Linked DNA regions of Notamacropus eugenii. The protein of the gene in region 4 interacts with the protein of the main gene of each other region in a pairwise test. Links are inferred from orthologs where the notes say so. Each region holds a gene or a part of one and is shown on either strand. Other genes may lie near its edges.

The links.
Region 1: the proteins of ITSN2 (region 4) and LARP6 interact in a two-hybrid assay, tested with the Homo sapiens proteins (2 studies listed by BioGRID, with this or other methods). The link is inferred for Notamacropus eugenii from reciprocal best matches to the Homo sapiens genes ITSN2 and LARP6.
Region 2: the proteins of ITSN2 (region 4) and SYNJ2 interact in a two-hybrid assay, tested with the Homo sapiens proteins (2 studies listed by BioGRID and IntAct). The link is inferred for Notamacropus eugenii from reciprocal best matches to the Homo sapiens genes ITSN2 and SYNJ2.
Region 3: the proteins of ITSN2 (region 4) and SOS1 interact in a two-hybrid assay, tested with the Homo sapiens proteins (2 studies listed by BioGRID and IntAct). The link is inferred for Notamacropus eugenii from reciprocal best matches to the Homo sapiens genes ITSN2 and SOS1.

Annotation. Positions count from the first base shown.
Region 1 is NC_092872.1:134,940,547-134,947,459, forward strand, and holds the start of LARP6 (la-related protein 6), read right to left. Parts: upstream 3,006-6,913; 5' UTR 2,731-3,005; coding exon 2,462-2,730; intron 1-2,461. UniProt on the Homo sapiens protein: Regulates the coordinated translation of type I collagen alpha-1 and alpha-2 mRNAs, CO1A1 and CO1A2. Stabilizes mRNAs through high-affinity binding of a stem-loop structure in their 5' UTR.
Region 2 is NC_092873.1:251,614,084-251,621,487, forward strand, and holds the start of SYNJ2 (synaptojanin-2), read left to right. Parts: upstream 1-4,395; 5' UTR 4,396-4,661; coding exon 4,662-4,788; intron 4,789-7,404. UniProt on the Homo sapiens protein: Inositol 5-phosphatase which may be involved in distinct membrane trafficking and signal transduction pathways. May mediate the inhibitory effect of Rac1 on endocytosis.
Region 3 is NC_092872.1:672,340,740-672,348,050, reverse strand, and holds the start of SOS1 (son of sevenless homolog 1), read right to left. Parts: upstream 3,010-7,311; 5' UTR 2,871-3,009; coding exon 2,784-2,870; intron 1-2,783.
Region 4 is NC_092872.1:761,640,439-761,648,191, forward strand, and holds the start of ITSN2 (intersectin-2), read right to left. Parts: upstream 3,013-7,753; 5' UTR 2,882-3,012; intron 1-2,881. Other genes in the region: intron Large complex component GCFC2, read left to right, coding at 6,265-6,448, 6,847-6,912, 7,181-7,297.

The DNA.
Region 1 (6,913 bases), about 630 Mb from region 4:
CACAGAATGCAGAACTAAGAGTAATGGATGGATGTTTCAAAGAGGAAAATTTATGCTTGATATAAGCAAAATCTTCTTAAGCTTTCTAAAATGGAAGGGCTGTCCAGAGAGTAATGGGTAATCTCATTAAGATCATAGATTTTGATCTGGAAGGAACCTCTGAGGTCATTCAAGTCAACCCCCTCATTTTACAGACATGGAAAATGAGTCCAGAGTGGTTAAGTGATTTATCCAGGTTCATACTGGCAATATGTAGCAACATAGGGATATGAACTTGGCTCCTCTGTTTACAAATTCTTCACTCTTCCTACTGTGACATTCAGTGGTTTTCAAGCAAAATTTGTATGATTCCATGTCATGAATGTTGTAGAGAGGATTCCTTTTCAGGTCTGAGCTGAACTGGGTGGCCACTAAGGTGGGTCACTCAATTCTGAAATTCTGTGATTTTGTGAATACTGTGACATGGCAGCCAAACAAGCTAAAGTCATTCCAGACAACACTGAGGGGCATAATGTCTGTGGCTAGGAAGATGACAGTCCCACTGTACCCTGTCCTGATTAGACATCCTGGTTACACTCTGGGCGCCATGTTTTAGGAAGAGGCGGAGAGCACCCAGAGGACACTAAATGGTTATCTGCCTCATGTTCACCTTATGAGGACCAGTTAAAAGAACCAGAGTATTTAGCCTGTATAAGAAAAGACTTAGGGACAATATGATAGCTCTCATGCAGAAAAAGAATAATTACATTCATTTTCCTGGGACCCAGAGAGTAGAACTGGGAGCAACAGTGGGAACTTGGAAAGAGGCCAGTTTGGGCTTGATAATAGGAGAAAAGACATCACGATCTGAGTTACCCCAAAGTCGAATGGACTGTCTTAGAAGCAGTGGGAAGTGTTCAAGCAAAATGCTGAAGATCACTTGGTGTCTATGGTATACAGGGGATTATTCTTCCCTTTGGGGCTGGACTTGATGGCCTGTGGGGTCCTTGAAGTCATGACCCCTGAATAATGATTAAGGCTCAGGAACTGAAACACAGAAGCCTCCTAGAGCAAACACAGGAAAGTCAGTGTCTTGATACCATGAGTCCCACCCTTTGAATACTAAACCAGTCTAACAGTATTATGAAACACAGAACTCAGATGGCTAGGACACCAATGGCAGGCACTAGATGGGTATGAACTGATGGGACAGGGCAGGTTTATGCAAAAAACAAAAAAGACTTCTTGAGTTTTATGCTATCTCTACAACTAGAATTAAGATACTTGTCAGCAGGTTTGAGAAAAAAATCAAAGCTGAAAGACACCCTAGACATCATCGAGCCTTCAGTTCCTTCACTTTATGAATGAGGAAACTGAAGCCTTGAGAAAGGAAGTCATTTGGCCAAGATATTACAGCTAATCAGTGGCCAAACTGGTACTAGAACCCCATCCAATGTTCCTCTAGGGGCAGAATGAGTAAAACCAATTCAATTTATATCATAAGGGATAATGTGCTGAACTGATCGCTTGACTTGTATAGGTTGTTAAGGCAGTTGAACACTACAGCTTGGAGGATCCTAGAAGTGACAGAACTTTGCCAATAGAGAGCTGAGGCCATGAAATAATCTTTCGGTGAGTCTACCTTTATGCCACTTGCAAATGTACAAATCTCTCATTATTCACTCTGGGGTGGGGGGAAGAGAGACAGAGACAAAGGGGGGAGAAAGAGAGAGAGAGACAGACAGAGACAGAGAGAAAGAGGGGGCAGAGAGAGACAGAGACAGACAGACAGAGACAGTGAAAGACAGAAACACTCCCCGCAAGGAGGCAGTTTGGATTACATAGACCATAATGGGGGGAGGAGGGTGGGTAGCTATATTCTTTTACCACGTTATCTGCACTGGGGGGCTTAGCTCTTATCCCCCCTCCCCAAAAGCGGATTTGGGTGTAGACGGCTAGACAGTGAGTAACCGCTGAGACTAGTACATCAGTGTCCTTTTCCATGGGCATGACTGACCCAGCCCAAATGATTGATTCGGAGTTTTGGGCAGCCCTGGCTTACAGGACATCAACAGCTCCCTAAGCTCTCCACCTCCGGTGGCGAGCCTGGGGGAGGCAGGGATGCAGAAGTCCTGACTGCACTCTCTGGAAGAGAAACCCCAAAGACTAGGAGATCAGGATGGTGTAGATCGAGGATGAGGCCCTCCGGACTTCTACGGGCCCCTCCTGCCGTGCTGCGGGGAAGGGGCCGGGATGTGGTGGGTGCTGGCTGCGTGTGTGCCGCCCAGCAAGCGCGGATCTGGGTGCCCCCCCGCCCCGGGGAAGCTGGCGAGCCGAGAGTCTGAGCCCTCGTGCAGAACAGCCGGGCTGCCTGTCCGGTCCTGCGCTGTCCCCCATGCACTCCTCCAGCCCGCCCGCGCCCTTCACCTCCTCCATCCCAAAGCACCCCGTTCCCCTGTCCAGGCCTTTCCTACGCTCGTACCTGTGACCGCGGCTAGGCTCATCCTCGCTGGCACTGCCCCACCCCGGGCTGAGATAGCGAGCCGCGTCCCCGTCGTCTTCCCCTTCCCCGCTGCCCCCCATCGCGGCCCCAGCCTCTTCCTCCCCCTCCTCTTCTGCCGCCTGGATGGCTACGCGGATCCGCACCGGATTCCTAGTCCCGGACCAAGCCTCGTATTGCTCCTCCTCTCCCAACGCATCCTCTCGTGGCCCTGCGCCGTCCCTGCCGCCCACCTCAATCGGCCGGGCCATGGCGGAGCCGGAGAGCAGGCGGAGCCGAGGGGCTGCGGCTGGGAGCGTGGCGGCCTCCCCTGCCGGCCCTGGGACTGCCTGCCCGATCGGGGGCGGCGGCAGCTGGAGACTGGCTGGGGCTCGCGGAGGGAGGGACCGGAGGGGTCGGTGCTGCCCCTCTGCAGGCGGGCCGGCCTCCCTACCCGCGGATCGGTCTCGCTCAGTACTGGGCTGAGCCCTTCCTTTTGGGGAAAGGGGGTGGGGGAGGCTGGAGGGGGAGTCGACTTCATTTGTGCTTTTTGCGTCGCGATCGGGGGTCAGCTGATGCCTGTCCGGGAATTAACCCCCCAATTCCCGATACTCCACCTTCCCTCCACCCCTATCCATCTCATGTTGCACGGAAGGAAGGGGCCCTAGGCTGGAGAGAAGGTAGCACTTAGGATTATAGGAACCAGAGTGAGAGATCAGGAACTTTGGAGGTCATGTAGGACTGGGACCACTTCACACTTCACAGATAGAGAAACCGGGGCTCCGAGTAAATGACCTATCGCACAGGTAGCAAGGGACGGTGCTAGTATTTGAATCTCGGCCAAATCGAGGTCATCATCATCCCCTAGGCTTCCCCTTTTCTTCATCTTGATAATGATACAGAAGAAGGTTATCCTCCTGGATGGTTAGTTGACCCTGGGAATGACAGAAATTGCCTAAGGGAGTCAAATCCACTGGCGTGCCAAAATCTAGGGCATTCCCATCAATGGTCCTGTGGATTAAGGCGTGAAGCACTCAGTTCAAATGCAAGTACGTTACAGTAGGAATACAAGTAACATACTTAAGATGTATGTGAGTCGTGACATTTCATTTAACTCAAATTTCTTGGTTGTTAGCTAACCCGATCAGAATCCTAAAGAAACAGAAGTAGAGCAAAAACAAATTTCATCCACTTCACAATTTCAGTTTGGACTCATGTAGTCACCCTTTTCAAGGCCTAAGTTTTCTTTATTATTTTTAAAAATAATATTTTATTTTCCCCAATTACATGCAAAAATATTTTTTTTTACCATTTTCAAAATTTTGAGTTCCAAATTTTATCCTTCCCTCCCTCCTTTTCTCCTTTGGATAGACAATAAGCAATCTGATATAGGTTGTATACGTGCAGTCATGTAAAATACTCCCATATTAGTCATTTTGTGGAAGTAAACAAACAAAAAAATGAAAGAAGAGGAAAAAGTGAAATATAGTATGTTTCAATCCATATTGAGATCCCATAAGTTCTTTCTCTGGAGGTGGATAACATTTTTCATCATGAGTCCTTTGGGATTGCTTTGGATTGTTGTATTTCTGAGAATAGTAAGTTATTTATGAATGTTCATTGTACCATAGTGCTGTCACTGTTTACAGAGTTCTCTTGTTTCTGTGCCCTTCACTGCATCAATTCATGTAAGTCTTCTTAGCTTTTTCTGAAATCATCCTGCTTATTGTTCCTTACAGCACAATAATATTCCATTATAATCATATACTACAACTTGTTCAGCCATTTCCCTCTGGATGAGCATGTCCTCAATTTCCAATTCTTGGCCACCACAGAAAGAGCTGCTATAAATATTTTTGTACAAATAGGTCCTTCCCCCCCCCCCCTTTTTTTTTGGATGTCTTTGGGATATAGACCTACCAGGGGTATTACTAAATCAAAGGGTATGGACAGGTTTTATAGCCCTTTGGGCCTAACTCCAAATTGTTCTCCAGAAGGGTCAGATCAAGGGAGCTAGGCCGGCTGTGCAGTGAGTGGATAGAGCACCTGCCCTGGAGTCAGCAGGACCCGAGTTCAGATTTGGCCTTAGATACTTGACACTTCCTTAGTTGTGTAGCCCTGGGCATGTCACTTAACCATCATTGCCTCGCAAAAAAAAAAAAAAAAAAAAAAAAAGAATGGTTGGATCAGTTCTCAATTCTACCAAGAGTACATTAGTGTCCCAGTTTTCCCACATCCCCTTCAACATTTATCATTTTCCGTTTCTGTTGTATTAGCCAATCTGATAGGTGTGAGGTGCTACCTTAGAGTTGTTCCAATTTGCATTTCTCTAATCAATAGTGATTTACAACATTTTTCACATGACTATTGCTTTGATTACTTCATCTGAAAACTGCCCATTCATATCCTTTGATCATTTATCAATTGGGGAATAGCTTGTATTCTTATAAATTTGACTCTATTCTCTATATATTGGAGAAATTAGGCCTTTATTAGAGATGCTTTCTATAAAATTTTCTCATTTTCTGCTTTGCTTCTAATTTTGGTTGCATTGGTTTTATTTGTAAAATTTTTTAATATAATCAAAATTATCCATTTTACATCTAGTAATGTTCTTTATCTCTTGTTTGGTCATAAATTCTTCTCTTCTCCAAAGATCTGACAGATAAACTATTCCATGCTTCCCTAATTAGCTTATGATATCACCCTTTATGTTTAAATCATGTACCTATTTTGTCTATCTTGCCCTATAGGAAAGTAGGTGGAAAGGGGAAAAGAGGGGTGTGGGGGATTATTGAAGGGAGGGCAAATGGGAAGAAGGAGTAAATAGAAGTGAACAATTTTGAGGAGGGATAGGGTCAAAAAGAGAATAAAATAAATGGGGGCAGGATAGGATGGAGGGAAATATAATTAGTGTTTTGCAATATGACTGTTATGGAAGTGTTTTACATGTATAACCTATATTGAATTGCTTGCCTTCTCAGTGGGAATGCGTGGAGAGGGAGGGAGAGAAGTTAGAACTCAAAGTTTTAAAAACAAATGTTAAAAATTGTTTTTACATGCAACTGGGAAATAAGATATACAGGCAATGTAGTAGAGAAATCTGTATTGCCTTACAAGACAATAGAGGGGATGGGGATAAAAGAAGGGAGGGGTGTGATAGAAGGGAGGGCATATTGGGGGAAGGGGTAATCAAAATGCATATTGTCTTGGGGTGGGCAGAGGGAAGAGATGGGGAGAAAATTTGGAACTCAAAATCTTGTGGAAGTGTCTGTTGAAAACTAAAAATAAATATATGATAATAATAAAAAAATAAAATCATGTACCTATTTTGACCTTATCTTAGTATATGGTATGCAATTTTGGTCTATACCTAGCTTTTGTCATGCTATTTTCCAGTTTTCCCAGAAATTTTTGTCAAATAGTGAGCTCTTGTCTCAATAGTTTGGATCTTTGGGTGCACCAAACACTAAATTACTATGGTCATTTATTAGAGCACACTATGTACCAAATTAATTCCACTGATCTATCACTCATTTCCTAGTCAGTGCACAATTGTTATGATGACTACCACTTTATAATACAGTTTGAGATGTGGTATGATGAGGCCACCTTCCTTCATTTTTTTTTCCATTAATTCCCTTGATCTTCTTAAATTTTTGTTCTTTTATATGATTTTTGTTATTATTTTTTCTGGCTCTATAAAAATTTTTTAGTTGTTTTATTGTTATAGTACTGCCTAAGTAGATTAGTTTAGGTAGAATTGTCATTTTATTTTATTGGCTTGGTCTACCAGTAAGCAATTGCTTTTTTCCCATTGTTTAGATTTTACTTTATTTTTGTGAAGTGTTTTACAATTGTGTTCATATAGTTCCTGGGTTTGTCTTGGCAGGTAGACTCCCAAGTATTTTACATTGTTTATGATTATTTTATCTTGCAACTTTGCTAAATTGTTAATCATTTCAACTAGTTTTTTTTTAGCTGATTCTCTAGGATTCTCTAAGTATAACATTATGTTCAAAGTTAGAGTTTTGTTTTCTCAGTGCCTATTCTAATTCCTTCAATTTCTCTTAGTGTAATAATAAATGATTTTATATTCTATACTATATATAATATGTATAACACATATATAATGTATATAACATATATACTATATAATATAATTAATACTATATATAATAATATGATAAATACATAATTTAAAAATAAATATAATAAATGTTATATATAATATAAAATATATACTATATATAATATAATATTGCTTCATCGCTGACCTTATTGAGAAAGATTCTAGCTTATCTCAATTTTAGATAATGCTTGCTGATACAGATATTCCCTGTCATTTTAAAGAACATTCCATTTATTCCTACTCTCTCTAGGAATGAGTGTTGTATTTTGTCAAAGACTTTTTCTGCATCTATCAAGATAATCTTATGATTTCTGTTGGTTTTA
Region 2 (7,404 bases), on a different chromosome or scaffold from region 4:
GTTCACTGTGGGCAGGGACAATTATTTTTTTTTCTACTCTAATTGAATATATTTTGTAGGGGAGATTGACACATCAACCATGTACTTGGTAAGGAACAGAATTGACATTTCTTTATAATTATTATTATTATTATTAATGTAACAAGGGTCTGGCCAATGAGCCTAATCCCTACACGCATGTGCACAGTGCTGTTGATGCAAATACCCAAATGAAAGAGATTTAGGAGCCTGCTTCTGAGAGAATCGTGATGATGGTAATAGAGAAACTCTGGAACCTTCATAGACATTCTATAACTGGGTCTGGTCTACTTACCATGTGTTATTGATCAGCAGCCTCTCTGATTGGCTTCAGCTGCAGAGGGGTGTGTGTGTGTGTGTGTGTGTGTGTGTGTGTGTGTGTGTGTGTGTGTGTGTGTGTGTGTGTGTGTGTTGGCTTCAGCTGCAGAGGGGTATGTGTGTGTCTGTGTGTGTGTTCGTCCTTGTGTGAATGTGTGTGTGTGTGTGTTTGTCCTTCATTGCTGAAGAAGACCATGCCATCAGAAAAATAATGACATGATTTGCACTTGACTTTGTTTTGAGTGAGGGAGGTCTGTGCACGTCACCAGCCTCACTTCTCCTTCAGAGCCATCTGAATCCAGTGACCAAATATTCATCAGGATGACAGGAGATGACCCAGGAGGAGGCAATTGGGGTTGTGTCTTGCCCACTCACAGTTAGTGAGTGTCAAGTGTCTGAGGTAAGATTTGAATTCAGGTCCTCCTGACTCCTGCACTGGTGCTCTGTCCACTGCACCACCCTATACTAATCAGATCAGAGAACGTTCCTTTCTTCGCAGGAACTTTGCATCTATGTTGTTTTAGTATTTGGGCAAAAGTGCGAAATTCAAAACCAGTCAGAAAGTTTCAAAATGGTCAAATGTCTGAATCTGGAAAAAAGTAGGCAAATGAATGATTGAATTCTTGGAGATGTTTTTGCCCTGGGTAGCTACAGATTTTACTTAAAGGTTATTTTGCCATGTGTTTAACTACTTTGGACATTTATGAATAGCTTTAAAACTGAATGTGTTCCCCTGATCAGTGACAAGTAGTTGGAAATGGAGCCATCCTTCCTTGGCAACATCAATAGATACTTCTGAAGAGGAATCTTTTCTGGACCCAGAGCCTTCAGAAGATTTTTGGCTGTCTAAGACCTACCAAAAAGTTCCAAAATATAATAAGATGTCTTCTATTTTCCCCTTTTAATCATTTTTATGAAGGAGGAATCTAGGGATCTAAAGAAAGAATCTAGGCTTATGAGATCTTCAGCAGTCAGCTTTCCAATTCCTTGTGATTTCAACTAACGTGGTTAGAACCTAATGAATACCTCCTTTACACTCTCTTTTGCAATTCCTAATCATTTGGTAGCTGTACCTAACTTCCTTCACCAATTCTCACTAAATGAAACTCCCTCTATCTATGTGGGTTGGCACATTATCTGCAATTTATAGTCCTAGAGGGTTGCCTGGAGGATTGAGTCAAAGTGGAATTTGTTTTTGTGTGGAAGTCCTCAGAAAATATCCTAATAAAATCATGGACATTTCGTTATTATGGCTTTTGACAATAAAACAGAAAAGCAGCAGAAATGATGAATTTCATTGTCATGAGTATTTTACATCTAAGTTTTTTTCACATTTAACTTAATTTAGGAATATTTGGAAAAATGATTGAGGTAACATACTTAACAAATATGTATTATATAAAAACTGGATGAAGGGTTGAGCTTGCATTTACTATTTTGCAATATTTTGAGAGCTCACTGAAGAAAAAACTCAAAATATTTCAGTATGAGTATAGGTTGATTGCTTGCATTCAAATCCATGATCAAAATGAGAGAGTGACAATAATGAAAAATAAATAGAATCATCTATAATATACTTGAATAATAAACTAAACACATACCTTGATTCCCTTCAAGCTAGATTGAAGGGGAAGGCATTCAAAAGGGCTCTCTTTCTCTCCTGGCTGGAGGACGTCTGGTAAGAGACAATGCCTAGAGGACAGAGGCTTCAGGCCACCTTCTTGTCTCAAGCCAACATGTGGCTCCATAGAAGATAGATAAGGCATTTATTAAGTGCTTACTGTATGCCAGACACTGTGCTAAGCACAGGGAATAAGCAATACAAGCAAATCGTAATAAAAATAAGAGAATCCCTGCCTTCCTGGAGTTTACAACCCAAGGGGAGAAGACAGCACATAAAAGAAGTTGCAAAAGGGAGTGAGGAGGAGAGGAAAGGATCCAGAAGGCATCCAAAGAGTCATGAGCTGAGCCAGGTTTGGAGTAAATGCAGCTGATGCAGGTGCTTCTCAAATATAGGTTTGGGAATGATGTCATCACAGGGACAGGGGTGGGAGGAAGGGGAGGAAGGGAGCTGAGCGGGGAGAAGAAACTAGCATGAAGCCAGCCACTAGAGTAGAGGTCCAGAGGCAGTGCGGGGAGTGATGGCTTTGTGAAGGGAATTATGATTTTTATAATAATCAACATAATATTTGTAAGGAAAATACTACTAGATTAGTTTTCTAAAGAATATCCTCTCTTGTGAGAGAGCTCACAATGCAGCTTAAAATGATGAGTCCAACTTCGGCAAGGCTCACAATTACTGGGATCTTTGTGCCTGCTTTCCTGAAGTGAAACGAATCAAAGCCCATCATAGAACCAAGTAATGACCCCCAAGGACTTGAGCTGTATTGCTCCCATAAGACTCCAGAATTGTTGTATTGTCTTCCATTTCTGGGTTTGTCGTGGGAAACTGCTCAAGTCTAGGAAAACATTGTAATCTGCCTTCTTTCCCTCCTTTCCCACTTGTGATTTATGCATGTAATCTCTGTTTTCACTTCAGCAAGGTGGAATTCTGATCAGGAAAATTCCCAGTTTTCAAATCTGTTTCTCATAATGAAACTAATTAATGGCCATTTGATTACTGGCACTTTGTGGTCTGCTGTTTGTTCATTCTCAGGTTAGAGACTGGTTCAGTAAAATCCTGTTAACTAACAGCCAGAACCAGGTTTTGGAGTAATCAAAACAGGAGTCTGGGAGTAAGTGAAAACAGGGTTGGGTTCTTTGCTGTCATCATTGTTCTTTCGTTTTGGTGAAGGAAATTGGAGACTGTGACCTTATCAATACCAGAATGTCAGGAGAACTGCTGGAGTGCAGGGTTTTGATGACCTGATGATGAGAGGAACTCATCCAGAATCACTGCCATATTTGCACATGAACTTGGTGGGACCAATACTACGTAGAACGCATATTAAACTTAAGCCTACTGTCTCCAGAGACTGAGACATTATCCCGAAGGATGTGCCTCCACAGTGTTGGATGGAAATGTTTGTATGTTTGTTCTTGCTACATCTTCTATGTTAATATCCTTTTGTAAAAGCTAATTGATATTAATTGGTTAAGTGGAACTAGAGGTGACTAATAGAAGGGGCACTTATTACAGTGTCTGGTACAGAATATTTAATAAAGATGCTGATTGGCCAACTGGGGGGAACGCATTGAAAATGGCAACTTACACTATTAGCAGTAAAGAAGACACCTTCAGTCCCTCAGGGGTACCCCTAGAACCTAGAACCTAGAGCCTACCTTGGTCTTCAAGAGTGAGCCCAGAGCACGTTCAGTACATGAATAATACTGAACAATTGTAGAGTGTCTTTCAGTGTGCTTTCAAGTTTATTATCTGACTTGATCCTTAACAATCCCATGAGGTAGAGAAGGCAGAGATTATTACCCCTATTTACAGAGGAGGAAACTGAGGCTCATCAGAGTTTAATGAGATGAGACAAAGGAAGTTCTCCTGACTTGTAATTCCTAGTTCTTTTTACTATAATAACCACTGCCTTGTATGGACTTTCTTTCCTTTGGTGTCTCTCTCTCTCTGTCTCTCTCTCTCTCCGTAATTGTAGAACTGCTGGATTTCATCTCCTCAGAGCTCTGTGGAATGTATGGAATGTCCCTCCTTATCTGCTACAACCTGGAGAAGACCCTGACACTTGCACAGGAGGGTCTGAGAAGTCTCCCCACTGCCAGGGCTTGGCAGGATCCTTGACCAAAGTAGATTCCACGACCTACTGAGGAAGGCCGAGTTGCAGGAGAGCTTTAGGAACAGCTCGGAGAAACTCGTTTTGACTTTTCTCCCAGTGCCTCCACAGCCCGCTAGCCCCCAGGTTAACTGGGGAGGAAAGCGCAGCTGTCTAGACCTCTTGGGGGAGCGCTAAGCCTTTTGAACCCGAGAAAAGGAAGAAAGACCAGAGAGTGCTAGGGAAGCTGCCCACTGCTCTCACCTGCCCCGGGGCAAGAGGGCGGCGAGAGGAAGGAGGAGGAGGAGCCAGCAGTGGGCCGGGCTGGGGTAGGGAGACAAAGTGAAACTCCTGAAAGTAGCTCAAAGCGTGGAAGGCCTGGCCCAGGGAGGGGCATTTGGCGGTTTCCCCTACCGCTCCCTGCCTCCTGAGGCCGGGCCAGCTGGGCGGCCGCCAGCGGTTTCCTCCTAGGGGAGCGGGCGGGGGCAGATCCCGAGCCTGGACAGCGTGGGGGCTCCGATCCCGGCGCTCGGGCTGGGTGGCTGGCAGCACCCGGGGAGGCTGCGGCGCTCCTCGCGGCCCTCTCCCGGCCCATGAGGACAGCTCCCCATGGCTCTGAGCAAAGGGCTGCGGCTGCTCCGGAGGTTCGATGTCTCCGGGGAGAGCAGCACCCTGCTGGAGGCCCGCAGCCGCCCGGACTGCCTGCTCTTCGAGGCCGGCACGGTGGCCACGCTCAGTAAGTGCTCTCCTTCCTTCCCCCGATCCGGGGCGCGGACCTTCCTGGGCCGGGCTGGCACGTCCTGGAGAGCCGGGCAGCGCACGGGCAGCGCCCCTGGGGGAGGGAGATCGCTGCCCGGGATGGGGGAACAGAGGCACTGCCCGAAAGCTCGCCCTGGGGCTGCTTGTCCAGGGTCTGCGGTACGGGGCAGCGTGGTGCCCAGGGCAGCCTAGCCTCGTGCCGGGTGGACACTCCGGGAGTGGACTTCTCTTTAAAAACCCAAGAATGAAGAGGCTTGGAGCAGCTTGCGGTGTATGAGTGGGAGGGAGCTGGGGCTGTAGTGTGGATTCCAGCGCCCTTCCAAGTCAGCTTTAGAGCCCCTCGGCTCAGACCTTCTCTACAGTGACTTCTCCCCATGCTGCCTCTGCCCAGCCTGGGTTTGGGTTTGCCTGCTGGGCTGGAGGGATCCTCTGTGGGTTACGGGAGGAGGCGGTGGGGGGCATCACCAACGCCCCAGCAAGGCGAGCGCAAGCCTTTTTTGTCTTACTTTGGTGCCGGAAACCAGGAAATACTAACTATGATCTGAAAGATTTGGCCTCTATAAAGATTGGGCTGCTGTGCCAACTCCGCGTGTGTGTTTGTATGTATGCATGTATGTGTGTGTGTGTGTATCTCCCTACACCTGTTTTTGGAACAAATGATTACAGTAGGAAATATTGTGAGCCGCTTGGGTAATAGGTACATTGGTACATGGGTAATAGGTACATTATGGAAGCCTTGCTGCTTCAGGTCAACAAAATACATGGTGAAGAAAACTCAGCACACTCGAGTACAGAGTTTGGCTGGCTGTAAGGACCAGCACTAGATCCTTGCCAATACAATGGGTACATTTCTGAGTTCTTGGTGGCATCGAACTTGACCTTGATCTCTAAATACTGTGATAAGTACACATTTTTTTCAGGTAAAACCACCCCGGTTGAGTTTGCCACTAGCATCTGTGTGAAGGATTCAAGCAGTAAGTACTTCTAAGTGTTCTAAATTAGTCAGGAGTGTGGGACTTTTTAAAAACTAATTTTTTTCCAAGTGTAGATAAAGCCAGAGATTCCACTTTACAAGCTTGCTGAATTTGTGAGCTTGTGCATATATAATTGGTTAAACAATGAGTGGAGAGAAAATGCCATGTTTCCTATATTTTCTTGAAATTTGTGTGGCATGCTAATTTCATTGCATGCATTGGTAGATGGTTGTGTAAACATTTTTAGTATATAAACAGTTTGATAGGTGTATGAGCTATCTGTCCAACTAAACTGTAAACTTTTTAAAGGTACCATTTCTTTAGTTAATCTTTTCCTCCCCAAAAATGTCATTAAAAATGCAGTACCTTTTTTCTGAGATTTTTTTTTGTATGCACAAGTTTTTGTTTCTTTTATTCTTTTATATTCAATTGGTTCACCTCTATGAAATGCAAGCTCCTTGTGGGCAAGGGCTGTTTTTTCTATGCTTTTTTTTTTAATCTTCCTGTTACCTAGGACAGTGCTTTTCACATGATAGGTACTTAATAAATCTTTGTTAAATTGAGAGCTTTATGTAAAGTTCCTTATCTCAGTTCTAATCTGATAACTTCCATGTTCCTCTATGGAAGCCCAAACTGAGCTATTTGGTAGTATCTCAAAAGAGAAAAGAGATAGACATTTCCATTCCAAGTTTGATTCCCATGAACATTTTAGATGATTATTTGTTTTTTTGCTCATTTACCTAAACCCAGAGTAGGATTGCATAAAGTGACTTTTGAAAACATATACAAATTTGTATTTCCACTTAAAGTGTTAAGATATGCTTTTGAGAGAATGGGAGGAGGTGGTTTTACAGCAGTTAAAATATTCAGATAAACATCAACAACTTAAGATTTCATTATTTCAAATGTGAATAGCTCAGTTATGAATTGAAGCAACAGAAGGCACATTTTTCATTATGAAATTAATTTTGCGATTATGCCTTCCCAAGGTGTTTTTATATCAGTAAGCCAGATACCAGAATATTTCTTATGATAAAGAAATTGTCATATCAATCTAACCACGTCATTTTTTTTTTTTAGTCTTTCAAATTTGTCGCTTAACCTAGCATTGTGTGGTTTTGTTTTTCCCTGGAATTCTTAGGCTGGTATTTATGGTACACTGTTATCTTTATTTTTCTTAAATGAAATTGAGTTAACCTGTAGCATTTAATTGGTAGTACTAGCTTCAAAAAAGTCATTTCTTCATACTTCTCTGCTAAAGCTAGGAGCAGTCTTTTCCTAGAGAAGTAGTCTGTATGATCCTTTGAAAAATCAATAAAGTATAAGTTGATTAGACACAACAATGTTTGAAAAAATGATTTCTTCCCACTAAAAGTGTCCATTCATACAGCTTATGGGTTGAGTTTTCTTTGAGTTTTCCTCTCAGCAAAGCTAGAATGGTTCCATTTTTATTTTTTAATTTTCTTATATAAACAAAACTCTTTTTTTCTCTCTCACCTCCTCATTGGGGTTATTACCCTTGTAATGATAGGCATACTCAAGCAAAACAAAGTCCCATATAATTCTTTGATTTAAAAAAACAGCATTGAGTTAGAAGATTGTTCTGGAAGAATTTTTGC
Region 3 (7,311 bases), about 89 Mb from region 4:
ATTACTCTGCTGTAAGAAATGTATGTGATGAATAGAGAAAAACAGGCAAAGATCTTCATGAACTGACCCAGAAGTAAGCAGAACCAAGAAAACAATATACACAGTAACTATAACAATGTAAATAGAAAGAACTACACACCAATATGTGTGTATACATACATACATATATATACACATATATGAAGTGAATGTAACAAAATCAAAGATCAAGAAGGACTGGAAAGAAGAGATATGAGGGGACATCCCCAGCCCATCCCTTCAGGGAGGTAGGAATTATAAAAGTGTTATATATTGTATATGTTTTTGGACTTTTATCAGTTGTACTGATTCTTGTCTTCCCTTCCCCCCCTCCCCCAATGCTGTTTGTCATATGAGATGGCTCTCTGAGAGGAACAGCAAGAGAGATACTTGGGATAAGGATAATGATGTAAGAAACAGAAGACATCAACTTTATTTTTTTAAATGTGTAGTTAGGTAGACTATTTCCTAATAAACTAAAGATTTGTGTTAGATGGTGGATTTTTAAAATTAACAACAAGGAATCTGAGTTACAAAAGAAACACAAAAGCAACATTCAAAAGACATTCTCTAAATTCTCCTCCCTTGAGGTAGTATCAATTTCAAGATAATAGTTTGTTTTTTAAATAACATCTGAGCTAGTCAGGGCAATAGGTCACAAATTGTGACCTACTTGATCTCTTCTCTCACATACAAGTATAGTATAGTAACACCTCATCTATCCAGCATCAGGAAATGAACTGTTCCACACATGTTAATTTTCCAGATAAATGAAACTTACCCCATTTGAGGGCCAAATCTTTCTCAAAGTTATAACGTACTTCCTTGCCTCCTTAAAATGAGTCTATTGAAGAATGTTTTTAGTTAATGGGGACATTAAAAGAGACTATCCCCCACCAAGCTGCTTGATAGTAAGACCTAAAGTATAGAAGCAGGAGAGGGGAGGAGGACCCTTATCCCTGCTCTGGCACTACAGTCACGGGGATGCACTCTACTCTCCCCAAGGTAAGATACTAAACATAATTGAACCTTTTCTTAGTGACTCAGTATCATCATTACTTTAATGATGGGTCATGTGGTAATACAGTAATGCCCCTGGGGGTTGTTGAGGTGTGTAAGGCTATTTGCTCCTAATGGCTCCAGACAGCTAAGCTTGAGTTTTGTTTACTTTTTACAGTTTTTCTCCCTTCTTTCTCACTATGAAGCTATCAGTGCCTGCTTGGATGCCTTAGTGACACAAGTTCCTTCCACACTTAAATGCAGAATCATGCATGAAATAAGAGTAAAGGGAGAACTAAGTGAGGATCTAATGCATTATCTTGAGTGAAATTTACCAGCTTTGTAACATCTTTTTAGCGACTCAGAAAATTTTTCTTGCTTCCTGGGTTCTATGTACTTTAAGTTGCAAGAATACTGATTTGCACATAATGAAGGTACTTCTGCAATTTGATTTTCCATTTGCTTCTAAAACTTAGATTTTTTTAGAAAAAACAGTTCACTGAAGTCTGAACTTAATAACATTGTAAGAAAAAAGTAAGTGAAAAGTTATACAAAAATACAAGGAAATACAAGGAAAAAGGGAGTGAGAATGAAAACCTTTCTATACCTTTCAAGACATATTAAGAAGATATAATAATCTAGTAATAAGCATACAAAGAGTAACTGTTCTCTAAATTCAATTCTCTAGACTAGAGTAACAAAAAGTAAAATGTATCTTAAGAACAAATCACTAAACACAGAGTTACTTTGTTAAGCTTCAGTGTTGAACAATATGGTAACAGGGATTTTAAAACATGTTTTAAAAAAGTTAACAAAAAATAGGAAAAGACAAAGTAACTTCTAAATGCAGCACAACAGAAATGACGACTAGAAAAGAAACAACAAATTATTACTTCAGAAGTCACACAAGTACACATTCTTTAAAGGATTCCAATTTCAGATGTCTTAATGTCCTTTTGGTACACAATGTTGTTTTTAAAAGTTTGCAGCTACAGATTGCAAAGAGATGATAATTCTGAAAATTCTGATTATCAAGCCAAAATTCGAATAGCAAAAACCTTAGCCTTCCAATGTAATAACTGATAAATCAAATAGTACTATTTTCGCATAGCCTTACTAAATGGAGCATGGGGGGGTGGGGCAATTCTGGATGGTGGCAAGCGATTACTAAAAACAAAGCCAAAAAGATCTAATCCCGTAGCTAACCGAAGGCAAGCAGCGTAATTACTTAGGGCAAACAAGATGGTCAAAAGTCAAATCAACAACATTTCTTAAGCGACTCCTTGGTGCCACACTCCGCTGGGCACGGGGGATACACACAAAGGCAAAGTCAGTCCCTTCCCTCAGGGAGCCTGCAGATGAATGTGGGCAGTTTTCCACAGTGCTCACGCAGGGGCCCTGGGCACCTAGGGCAAGAAGCTGACCTTAGTTCCTAATATACAAAGGAGAGGAAAAGCTCCTTGAGGACAGGGCTGCCTTTCACTTGCCTCTTCACGGCTTACTGAATGGAGGGATGGAGAGAATGAAAAGGCAGCAGGGGATCATTTTTAGACACTCTTCTGCATACCTCGACATACTCAGAAGAAAAGGGGAGGAGGATAGGGGGCTAGGCACTAAGCTTTTCGGTGGGTGGCCGCTACAAACAGCCTCCCGCAGTCGCCGTGCGAGCAGTGCCCGCACCGACACCGCCCCGAGAAACCGGGCAAGCCGTCCGCGGGATGCCGGAGCCCAGCCCGCCCCTCCCCCGGCCCGCGCCCCCACCTCACCTTTTTCAGGGCCGTCACCAGCAGCCCCCTCCACTTGGGCGCGTTCTCCTCGCTGAAGAACTCGTACTGCAGCTGCAGCGCCTGCATGGTGCCCCGGGGGCTCCTCCGGGGGGCGGCGGCGGCCGAGCGGGGCGCCAGGGGGCGGGGAGGACGAGGACAAGGAGGAGGAGGAGGAGGCCGAGCTCTCACACCCGGCCCCTGCGGAGGGCAAGGCGAGCGGGGGCCCGGCGCGGCCACTTACACAGGACCAGGGACCAAGCCGAGCCCGGGCCAGGAGGCGGCGGCGGCGGCATCCCGCACCGCCTCCCCCGGGCCGGGGCCGGGGCCGGAGCCGGCGCTCTCCCCCCCACCCCCGCCGCCGCTGCCGCTGCCGCCGCTGGCCCTGTCTCAGCGCGGAGCCGCCCCCAGGGTCCCCTTGGGCGCCTACCCCGGGCCTGGCCCGCCCGGCCCGGCCTGGCCCTGCAGCGGAGCCCCGAGGAGGGGGGGCGTGCAGTGAGACGTCTCCGGCGCCCCTTCCCTCCGCTACGGCGGCTAGGCTGCCCGGGGGGTCCCAGGAGACGGGGAGGACAGAGCAGGAGAGGAGGACGGGAACAGCCCGATTTTGTGGTTCTAAAGGAACCCGGCCGCCCCGAGGTGCTACCGCCGCCGCCACCACCGCCGCCGGTGTAAAGCTCAAGCTTCCTACTTCAGTGGAACCTGCCTCGCTACTGAGCATGCTCAGCAGCGGGGACAGCGGCTCGCAGTCTCTAGCGGCTGCCACCTCCCCCTCCCCCGCCCCCAACCTCCTCCGGCTCCAGGTTTTCCCTTCAACCGCGAAGGGCCTGGAGGGATGGGGGGGGGGGAGGGATTCAAGAAGTAGGGAGATTGGCCGCGCTCGGAGTTCAGCCCTGGCACTGGAGAGGAGGGGAAGGAGCGAGGGTAGTAGTGTCACACTGCGAGGAGGGGTGGCTGAGGGACACCAGCTGAGCCAGGGGAAAGCACTCTCAGAGTTGTGAGATGGGGTCACATGAAAGAACGTGCTTCACCTTTCGAGGTCTGGGGTTCTTTTCGTATCAGAAGCACCGCGGGGGGGTGAGGCGCAGACTTAGTTACCCAGAGAGGTGTCGGGTGAATGCCTAAAATAGAATAGGCACTGTACAGCCAACCTCCAAAGGAGACAGGTCCCTAAGCTCTCCCGGGAGGGATAGGGCAGGTATGCGTGTTGCACTCGCCCTTTCCTTCCCTTTGAGGATGCCAACTTGTGCAGTTTAATTGGTCATTCTTGGACACAAGGGCACATCGGAGGAGTCAGAAGGGACCTTAGAGGTCATCTATTCTAACGTGAACGGCATTTGCTCGTTCATTCCGAGATTACCTTCTATTTACACTGTGTGCATCTTGCGAGTACATAGTAATTTGCATCATCTCCCCCATTAAGAGAGACAACTCCTTGAGAGCAGAACAGGCACGGCGTTGACTCTTTGTATTCCCCAGCTCTTAGCACAGTGATGGCACATTGTAGGAGCTTCATAAATGACTGGATTGACAACCCAGAGACCCAGAAAAGGTTCATATCTTTTTAATGGTTACACACTTCATCCTAGGAAGAACACGGAGACCCAAAATAACAACAAAGCAAAAAACTAGAGTAAAGGTGGATCGAGCTTCTTAACTGGTGAATGTGCTCCAGCAGGTGATACTTAGAGCAATGTAGTTCCTTGGTTTCAGAAACAAAAGTAGTGGAAGCTGGAAAGAAATGACACCCCTCAAATAAAGGAGCAAGGGGAGCGTGAAAATGTTAGTAAGCCGTCCATTGTTGTCCTCTTAATTGCATAGTCAAAAAATATCAGCAACCGCTGAAAGAAAATTCTGGGATGTGAGTACTAAGTAAAATGGTATGGTCAAAATCTATGGTATAGATATTTAGCTCTTACAAAGTACTTTTAAAATATCTCATTTGATCCTCACAACAATCTGGGGATGTAGGTTCTATTATTATCCCCAGTTTACAGATGAAGAATCTGAAGTTAAGTGCTTTGCCCAGGGTCACACCACTTGTGTCTAAGGTTGCACTGGAACTCAGGTCTTCTTAAATCTAGAACCAGTGCTCTATCCATGACACCAGAGTAATAGCACGTATGCATATACACACATACATACACGCATTTTAAGGTTTGCAAAGCGCTGAACGTGTCCACACAACAATCCTGGAAGGTTTATCGCCATTTTACAGATGAGGAAACTAAGGCATGGAGGTTACTTGCCCCAAGTCACACAGCTAGTACGCGAGATCTAGCGATGCAGTTAGCAATCAAAATTTGTCAACAAACCTCTGCGATCTCTGTCGGGTTCCTTCCAACAGGGCACCCCTATCAGTCTAATGCCGTTCTCCACCACCACCAACCACCACCCTGCATCCTCTCAGGTTCTGCCTGCAGTGCCAGGGATGAACCTTGCCTGATAGGGCTTAGGGAGCAAATAAAGAGCCTGACCCTGAAAACTCTTGGACTGTGGGTACAAAGGAGGAGTCCCTACCAAGGTGAGGGAAACTTGACACCCCCACAACACAGACACACACAGACACACACAGACACACACAGACACACACAGACACACCCCTCCCTCCCCCTTTCTTCTCCACCCCCACCACACACACACACACACACACACACACACACACACACACACACACACACACACACACACACACACACACACACACACACACACACACACACACACACACACACACACACACACACACACACACACACACACACACACACACACACACACACACACCCCTCCCTCCCCCTTTCTTCTCCCAGGCTAGAAGTACAGGTACTGCTCCGCTCCCCGGCCGTGGAGTAAAACCCGGATAACTGGATTTCAGATCGGACTGGGCATGCTCAGCCACCCAATGCGGGGGGGGGGGGGGGGGGGGGATGGAGGAGGGGTTCACGAGTAAGAATAAGTTAAATTCACGGGGCCAGCATCGCGGCCTGAGGATTGGGACGGGCAAAGGGCCAGGTCTGCTGATCAGACAAGGGTGGACAAATGGGGAAGGGGCTGCGGCTGGGGACGTAGCCCGTCCATTCTGTGGGAGACAAAAGAATATACATCCTCGTGAAAGAAGAAAGGGAAACGGCTCAGGAGTCCCCGGTGTGAGGCGGGGACCCGGGGCAGTGACTGGCAGCCCCAGGACCCCCGCGACCCCAACCCAGACAGTTAGAATCGGGCGGCGCCTGCGCGGCTGCCTCCCCGGGCGCTTCTCTTTCCTTGACGAGACTCAGGGAGGCCCGCGTCAGGGCGGAAGTGATGCTCAGAGGAGGCGTCCAGACCAGGTAGCCGAGCTCCGAGCAGCTCGGCCGCGCTTCGGCGCTCCAGGGAGCGGAAGGAGGCTTCTTCAGTCTCCGCCCCGCTCAGCCCCCGCGACACGCCCCCTGCAGGCGGGAGGGCCGCGCGTGCGGGCGCAGCCCCAGCGGCCACGTCCCTGCGCTCCCCGCGAGCATCCTCCCGCCCCTGCTTCTTCAGCTCATCCCTAATAACGTGTCTGTCGAGACTCCCTGACGTAGAAGGGAATCCGCGGACCTAGCAGGAACTCTTACTCTGGGGAACGTGACGTCTTAAAAGATTTTTTACATGATTGCATTTCAGTAGAGTTGGCTTTTTGGTAATCCCACGTATTTTATTCATTTACCAATATTATTCTGAAATTCCCCCAGGGGTCCATGACACCAGGCAAGGGCAGACCGCCTCCTTCCCCGCCGAGATGAAGAATTCGTTCTAGTCCAACCGAGGAGGGAACGGTGGAGTGACAGATAAATGAAGTGACTTGGGTCACCAGTGGCATGGGCAGGATTCGAACTCGGTGCCTCTGACTCCAGGGCTGCGCACTTCCCACCATTTACAGTCTTGCAGCAGATTTTGGAGCCTGCTATCTGCCTGCTCTCCAGAATTAGGACCATGAACATAGCTGGAAAGGGTCTTTGAGATCTCTTGAACCAAACCTGCTCATTTTGTGGATAAGGAGGGGGGGACTTGCTCCATCACAGTTAGTGACAGGCACCATCTGACTCCCTATCCAGGGCTTCTAACTTTACAACGAGCGCCAAGACCAGGGGCCACCATTCCTATCTTCTTGCTAAGGGGGAGGGTCTGCCCAGAAATGGACCAGAAGCTGAGGAAAACTGAAGTAGGCTGGATATCTATTTCCAACAGTAACCAAAAAACAATACATCAGAGCTAGGAGGATGAGGGGCTTGAAATTTGGAAAGTGCATAAGAGGGCTACAAACATTTCCAGGAGAGTTCTGAGAAAACAAGGATCATGTTCTGTAGGTTCCTCATATGTTTCTTCCTATTATAAAATTCCTACTGCCATATGTTCCAAAATACATCCCTCACTAAAGCTCCTGCTTTTCACAAAATTAAGGAAAAAGGAAAAACAAAGTAGAAAGATGTCCTCTGGTTCACCAAATGAGGACATGTTCAAAGCAAGATATGCATGAACCTTGCCTGATGTTGCTTAGAGAGCAAATAAAGAGTCT
Region 4 (7,753 bases):
CAACCCACCCTGTATCTGTCACACAAAGAGAGGAGGAGCCCGTGGCCCCAACTCCTCTGATATCCTTGAATGGCCTGCCTGTATTTTGAGAAGCAGCTACTGGAAGGTCTGAGTGAAGCTGGTGGCAGCCACGCTGGGGGCTGCTAAGGGCTGAGGGGAGGCAGAGAGAGACCAACATGGACTGTAGTGGAGAGGGGGCTGGGTCTGGGCTGAGAGCAAGGTTCAGTGTCCTCACCTATAAAATGGGAACGATGTCTTTTGGAGGGTAGTTGTTGGAAGACTGCTCGAACCTTCACCCGTCACCTCCAGGCCACGCCCCCGCCCCCACTCTGTCTAGCCAGCACCAAGAACAGGGTTCTGGACGAAGCTCTGCTGAGCTGGGTCTACTCACTTGTAGGCCACAAGCATTTCAAAGCTCATTTCTGACCACATTTCTCTGGGTCAAGTGACTGACTGCACTGCACAGGCTCCTCCCCTGACTTAGAGGATAAATTTTCTTTAGAACTTCCAGGGTAAACAGGGTGACTTCTACCCCGTCTTGTCCCTAACACTCATTTGTCACAAAAGCACAGGGGTTTATTTCAATTTCTTAACATAATAACTTGTACTAGACTCCTACCTAAATTCCAGTATCCCAACAGCTCACACAGATTTATGTCCTTCCCCTTCACAGTCAATCTGCCCTCACTGTTCATCTGGGCCCTTCTCCAAATCCCCAGCTTCCTTCAGAAACAAGTTCAAGCACTAAGTCTCAGCTCATGAAAGGCCTGCCCCTGGTCCCCTCAGGTGCTTGGACCTCTCTCCTCAAAAAATAGCCATGGACTTATGTTGTAGATGCTTATGTGGGTTAGAAGAAGGTAAGCTACTGGAGGGAAGGGTCTTTGAGGGAAAGGGGCTGTAACCCCTGTCCAGTCCACAGCAGGCCTTTCATAAATCTTGGCTGACTGTCGGGAAAGGCATTAAAGTTACAACCACAGTTCTTCTTTCTGGTATGACTGTTATTTGAGGTTGATTTCCTTTACAGGAATATGTTATGACCAAAGCCTGCTGGCAACTTCAGAATTCTGGATTTCCACATTCTTTATCTTTACCGTGACCAAGGTTTCTATGACCTCTGAGATTCACATTTTCAGACTCTGTCCCAGGCAAAGGACCACAGCAGGTGTGGAAATGGAAAAGTAGAATTCAGGGGTCACTGTTAACTCATGACTATGTCTTAAATTAATCCCAAATCTTTATTAAAGACTAACGAACAACCAATTGATTTTTATTAAGTAACTACAACGTGGTCCGTGGGCTCAAAGAGAACACAATCTAGTGGAAGAGGCGACAAAGCTGAGGAGGCTTCCTGGGGAAGGTGGAGGAGCAGGAGGGAAGGACAGACAGACAGGATGCCCAGAGCCCAGAGATGGAGGCTCTTGTCCTGGGACAGCCAGGGGGCTGGATCTCAGGATCAGTGTGGTGGGAGGGGAGGATGAGTTTTTAATGCCGAAGAGAGGATCTTGGATAGGAAATTGAAGAAAACTAAGAGCCCCTGAAATTTGGGGGGGGTGACCCATGGTCCGACCTAGGCTTAAGGATGATCACTTGGGTGAGTGCAGGGAATGGACTGGAGTGGGGCGGGGCAGAGTTTTCGCAGGCAGACCCTGAGCATCTCCCCAAATGGTGCAAGGGAGGGAATGAGGGTCTGATGAGGAAAGGGAGGGAAGAGGATGAGGGTCTGATGGGGGAGGGGATGAGTCTGACAGGGGGGAGGGGAAGAGGGTCTGACTGGGGGAGGGGAGGAGGGTCTGACTGGAGGGAGGGGAGGAGGGTCTGACTGGGGGGAGGGGAGGAGGGTCTGACTGGGGGGAGGGGAGGAGGGTCTGACTGGGGGGAGGGGAGGAGGGTCTGACTGGGGGGAGGGGAGGAGGGTCTGACTGGGGGGAGGGGAGGAGGGTCTGACTGGGGGGAGGGGAGGAGGGTCTGACTGGGGGGAGGGGAGGAGGGTCTGACTGGGGGGAGGGGAGGAGGGTCTGACTGGGGGGAGGGGAGGAGGGTCTGACTGGGGGAGGGGAGGAGGGTCTGACTGGGGGGAGGGGAGGAGGGTCTGACTGGGGGGAGGGGAGGAGGGTCTGACTGGGGGGAGGGGAGGAGGGTCTGACTGGGGGGAGGGGAGGAGGGTCTGACTGGGGGAGGGGAGGAGGGTCTGACTGGGGGAGGGGAGGAGGGTCTGACTGGGGGGAGGGGAGGAGGGTCTGACTGGGGGGAGGGGAGGAGGGTCTGACTGGGGGGAGGGGAGGAGGGTCTGACTGGGGGGAGGGGAGGAGGGTCTGACTGGGGGGAGGGGAGGAGGGTCTGACTGGGGGGAGGGGAGGAGGGTCTGACTGGGGGAGGGGAGGAGGGTCTGACTGGGGGAGGGGAGGAGGGTCTGACTGGGGGAGGGGAGGAGGGTCTGACGGGGGGAGGGGAGGAGGGTCTGACAGGGGGACCAGGAGGACCGCAGTGCGGCAATCAGCACAAAGCCTGGGGGAGGGCGGGCGGGGTCTGGGGAGGGTCATCACAGCCAGGTCACTGGGGGAGAGGGGCGGCGCCCCCCCATCCCAGGAGCCCCTACCTCCCACCCCTGATCGCTGCCGTCAGCCGGGCCCGCGTCCTGCGCACAGCCCGAGTCAGTAGGACCCGAGTTCGAATCCGCCCTCAGACCATTCCTGGACGAGTGACCCCCCCCCCCCCCGGCCCCCCTTCGCAGGGCCCCCCCCACACGCGCGGGCCGCCCCCCTCCCCGATCCCCGCCGCCGCCCCCGTAGCAGCCGGGCAGTCTCCACCGGAAGCGGGGCCTCCTTCCTGCTTCCTGCTTCCGCGTGACCCCCCCCACCCCGCGCCCCCCGCGCGCCCCCACCTGCCGCCGCCTGCTCCGCCTCCGCCACCGCCTCCGCGGCTCCCTCGGCCGTCCGCGAGGACCCGAGCCAGGGGCCCCGACTGCGCTCAGGGGCTGACGGGCCACGAGCCACAGCTAAGCAGCTGCTGCGGCTCCTGTCAGAGCCGCCTGTCAGCGCCGCCCGGCCCCGCCCCTACGTCATCGCGTCGTCATCTCACGTCACCGCGCCCGTCGGTACGTCATGTGACGATCCTCCAGATGGAAGTCGGGGGCGGAGCCTGGAGACAGGGGAGGGGGACGGGGGAAAGGGACCGTGGAGGCTGAAGACGAGGCCAGGAGGGGCGGGGCCTAGGAATGAAACCTTCCAAGGAGACTGGGAGAGCGAGGGGGCGGGCCCGGATGATGAGGACGGAGCCTGGAGGGCGGAGGGGCGGGGCAGGAGGGCCAGGAATGGGAATGTGGAGGCGGAAGATGAGGTCAGGAGGGGCGGGGCCTGAAGAGAAGAGGGACGTGGTCTAGGAAGGAGACCTTCCAAGGAGACTGGGAGAGCGAGGGGGGCGGGGCCATAGGGGCGGGGCCTGGCCGAGAGGGGTGCGGACTTGCTCCCTGCACAAGTCCCTGCACGTGCCCTCCCTTTGAGTCTGAGTCGGTGGCTTCCCAGTGGGGGCAGTTCGTCCACCAGCTCAGAGGCCACGCGGAGGTCATGCCACCCGCCAGCCCCGGCGTCCTACAGCCACGACTCCTTGCCCTAGAGGCCTGTGGATCCCAAAGATTCTAGATCCCAGCCAGTCCTCGTGGACCCTTGGGGCTAAGAATTAATAATGCTCGATAGATAACATGGATGGCATAGCGCTCCACAAATGTTAGAACCATCAAAATAAATAGGTTTTTAAAATTGTATTGTTTGTAGAAAAAATTAACCATAAAGTGAAAATAAATGAAATGTGTCTTATTTGTGAAACTAAAAAATTATAATTATCCATTGTTAAGAAGACATAATAGGATGCCCTGATACTGTGGTGGTAGCAGGAATCTCGTGAATCACAGAAATCTAGTGAGAAAGACTGGTCCAAGCTGCCCTTTGGGGAGACACTAGAGGGGGAGAGGGAAGACTAAGGAAGGAGTCTGAGGGCATCTAAGAAAAATGATGTAGATGCGGGTCAGTGGCTCATCCTGCGCCGCTCATCCAATGCCAACGCCAAATGGGGCATCCAAAGCCAAAGGGTGAGAGAGCCCCTGATGTGTCCACAAGGTGATGGGCATGGAGGAGGGGGCAACGTGATCATGTCCCTTCTTCATGATTCCTGACCAACCCTGCTAACTTCCATGTACTGGTCTATAAGCTGCTGAAGGGGAAGGGTGCTCTCTCACAGGGCAGGGAAAGACCTTGGGCAAGTCAGTTCATTTCTCTGGCCTCCCTCAGTTTGCTCTTTGATGTGACCTTGGTGAGTCCTGGCAGTCCAGCCCCCTTCCAAACCAATAAGAAAGAGTTCTCTTCAGTTCATTATCACTCCGCCCACCTTCTCCACGTTTCATCATTGCTCCTGCAGGGCTCTGCCTGGACACCAGAACAATGAATGCAAACCCCTCAAGCATTCCTGGGAAGGGTCCGGCTTTCCTCAGCCCAGCCTTGGTGCTTGACTGCTGCTGAACTGAAGCACAACCAGTGAACACTGCAGGTCTTTTCCTCCTTCCACACCACCAAAAAGTTCCTCCTGGAACACTCCAGCCTTCAGAGAGTGCTCCATAGGGCTTAGATTTGAATCAAGGTCAGAGCTTGATTGAATTATCTATTTTTTCCTCTCTCCTGTCCCCCACCTACAAGAGCCATGTCTGACATGGGGGCACAGTTCTTGGAACTTGGGCAGCAGTCTGTGCCTATGATCTAACCCACAAAAGCTTTGGTAAGCATGTTTCAAGAAGGGTGTGATATGGGGTAGCCTGTTACCTTTCCACTTAGGTGGTAATCTTTATTTCCTGTCCACTAATTTTAGGCTAATTAAAAGTATCATAATTACTTGTTGAGCATGGAAATCAAATGCATGACTAAAAGGAAAAATGCTGTCTCCCGATCGGCTTTTGAATGATGAGGAAAAAATGCTATAGATCTGCAGGACAAGAGAGAGGTACCATCAGCATCAGATGCAGGCATAACTTGGCTGCCTCGTCTGGGGCTGCCACATGGCCATGAGCACATGGTGCCTATGGTTCTCTCTCTGGTAACTATGTGTGTATGTAATGGTCACGATGGGCGGCCCAACCCTAACATCACATTTCTCCCTAGCCTCAATACACCGTCTCCCAAGGACAGCCCGCCCTAGCCAAACCCTTATCTCTCTGCCTGCTACAACAGCCAGCTGCACCTCTACAATTTATTAGTTTGAACCATCTATGTACTGGTTGAACTGGCTGTGTACTGGGTCCTAAAGATCAATCACATGTATCCTAGACTCAGACATGTGTTTACTCCCTTATGTTTGTCTTGCTTGATGGGAGCAGCCCGGGTATTTCTCAGTCAGCCCTGACTGCTGGTTGAGGCCTAAAAGCACACCTCCATGTAGGCCTGCCCCTTGGGTAACATGCCTGCACAGTATATCCTAAAAGTGCATGTTCCTTTAAGAACTAACTATTCCTTAACCACTGCTTAATCCTGCCCTGAATAACCTAGTTGGCACATTTGGCACGTTTGCTATAAAATATCCTGCACAAGCTTTGACCGTACCCCTCCAAGGTTGCAGGCAGGTGCCCTAAGAACTCTTTCCCATCGTGACTTCCAGGATGCCTGAGTCTGTGACTTCTCCAGGCTCCGTCTGCTGAGCACTGCTTGATTTCTCCGCTGGTGTACGTGATCACAGAAGACCCTCTCACAAAAGCAGACCTAAAAGCCTGCGTGGCAGACCCCGCGCTGGCAGACCCCGCGCTGGCAGACCCTGCTGGAGGCGTCAGGGCGCCGCTGCCACATGGCACAGAGACTCCGTGAAAGGGAAGGGATCCCTCCTCCTCCTGCCTTCCCCAAGGAGCCACCGTGCCCACGAATGCAGGGGCACGGGCACGCTGCCTCGGAGTTCGGGCGCTTCTGAGCTGCTGCGACGGAGGTGATCTCACAACCAAAACCTTTCTTTTTATTATTCTATTTTTCCCCAGTGACATGTTAAAACAATTTTTAACATTTGTTTTTAAAACAGAGTTCCAAATTCTCTCCCTTCCTCCCTCTCAATTCCGGGGACAGGGAGGGCTCTGGAACAGCTGGTGGGGGGCGGAGCCAGGTGGGGCGGAGCCAGGAAGGACCGCGAGCCAATGGCGTGCGGGCCCACTGCGCAGGCGCGTCGGTCCGAAAGTGTCTTATTCAGATTGCGGGGAGCCGGAACCAGCGGGGCCTCGCGCCGGCGCAGTACCTGTCGACTATGTCTCAGCGACCTCCGCGGAACTTCCGCCAGCGCCAGGCGGACTCAGGCTCCAGCTCCGACCCCGACTCTGACCCTGGGCCCACACCTGATTCGGGCCTCGGCGGCCGCGCTCCCGAGCGCACACTCGGGGCTCCGCGGAGTCGCGGCCGCGCCCGCGTTTGGGCGACTTCGCGCCGCGCAGGTCCGTGCGAGGGCAGCCATGGGGTGGGGAGGGTGCGTGCGCACACGCGGACTCCTGGCGCATGCGCGGAGCTCCAGGGAAGCTCAATCGATGTCCGAGAGCTCCCGTCTTCCACGGATGCATGACCTCATCGATTCCATGGGGAGGGGCCCCTCGAGGGTTGTGCAGGGATGAAGGAAACTGAGGCAGTGCGGGCGGGGCAGGGGCAGGAGCTAACTCCAACCCCCTCCTATTTCCTCCCCTGTCAAGTTAGGGTCATGACGCAGACACCCCAGGCACCCCTCATTCTGATCCCCTGTCCCCATGGACCCTCCCCGCCCCTCAGCCCCCAGACTCTCAGGCCACAGCCTCTGGCCCCACCCTCGCTGCCCTGCCTCAGTTTCCCACTCTGTCTCCAGGCACCTCCCGGTGTGGACCCGCCCCTCCAGGTGTGCAGGGGTGCTCCAGTTCTCCAGAAAGGAATGGTGAGCGCCCCTGCTGGAACCCCTGCTGGCGTCTTGGGGGGAGCTCCCACCCCAGGGAAGAAGTGTTAGCCTGGGGCTCAAGGTCAGGGGAGGGAAGGGCTGCAATCAGCCTTGTTGGAGGGATCCTCCCCGTTGTGGAGGGCCCGCGTTCTGCCTGGACTGGGCCTGAGGAAGGGCGCTGAGGGGTTCTGAGGGAGCTCCCCCTGTCCAGGTCCCCCCACTGGCTGCCTGGCGCTGACTAGCATCGCTGCCACTGCTTGTCCCCCAGAGTCCCCCCTGCCGCCTGGCCATGAGGATGAGGACACCGGGGCAGAAGCCCAAGACTTCTCGGGAAGCTCATCTGGCGAGGAGGCTCGTTCCCCAAGAGCGCAGGATGACTGGCCAGGTGCGTGGCCCCCATGGGCCAGTCCTGGGGCTGCTGGGCGATCAGCAGTCACCTGGCACTCCCTGTCTGATGCCAGACCCTCCTGATCTGACCAGCGATGTCCATGGCCAGATCTGCATCCTCTGAGGAGTCCTTGCTCAACCAAAACCTTTCCTTGAACCCTGCGGGGTGACCCAGAGGCTCTCCCTGACCCTTTTCACTCAGTTCCTGTGGGTCCTTTAGGGAAGATGCAGAGTACAGGCCATAGATCTAGGGCCACAAGGTCCTCCTGTCCTGCATCCTGTGCCGCCTCCTGGGGAAGAGTCATGACTGGAGGTGGGAAAGGGGCACTTTTTCTAAGGACAGACACAGGTCTCGGGGATGGTCCCATAGGGTGCAGCAGAGCAGTCCGCTCTGGTCCACCTGGGTGAACCCATGGTGCTGTGGCCAGTTCTGAGCCTGAGCCAGAGAGGGGAA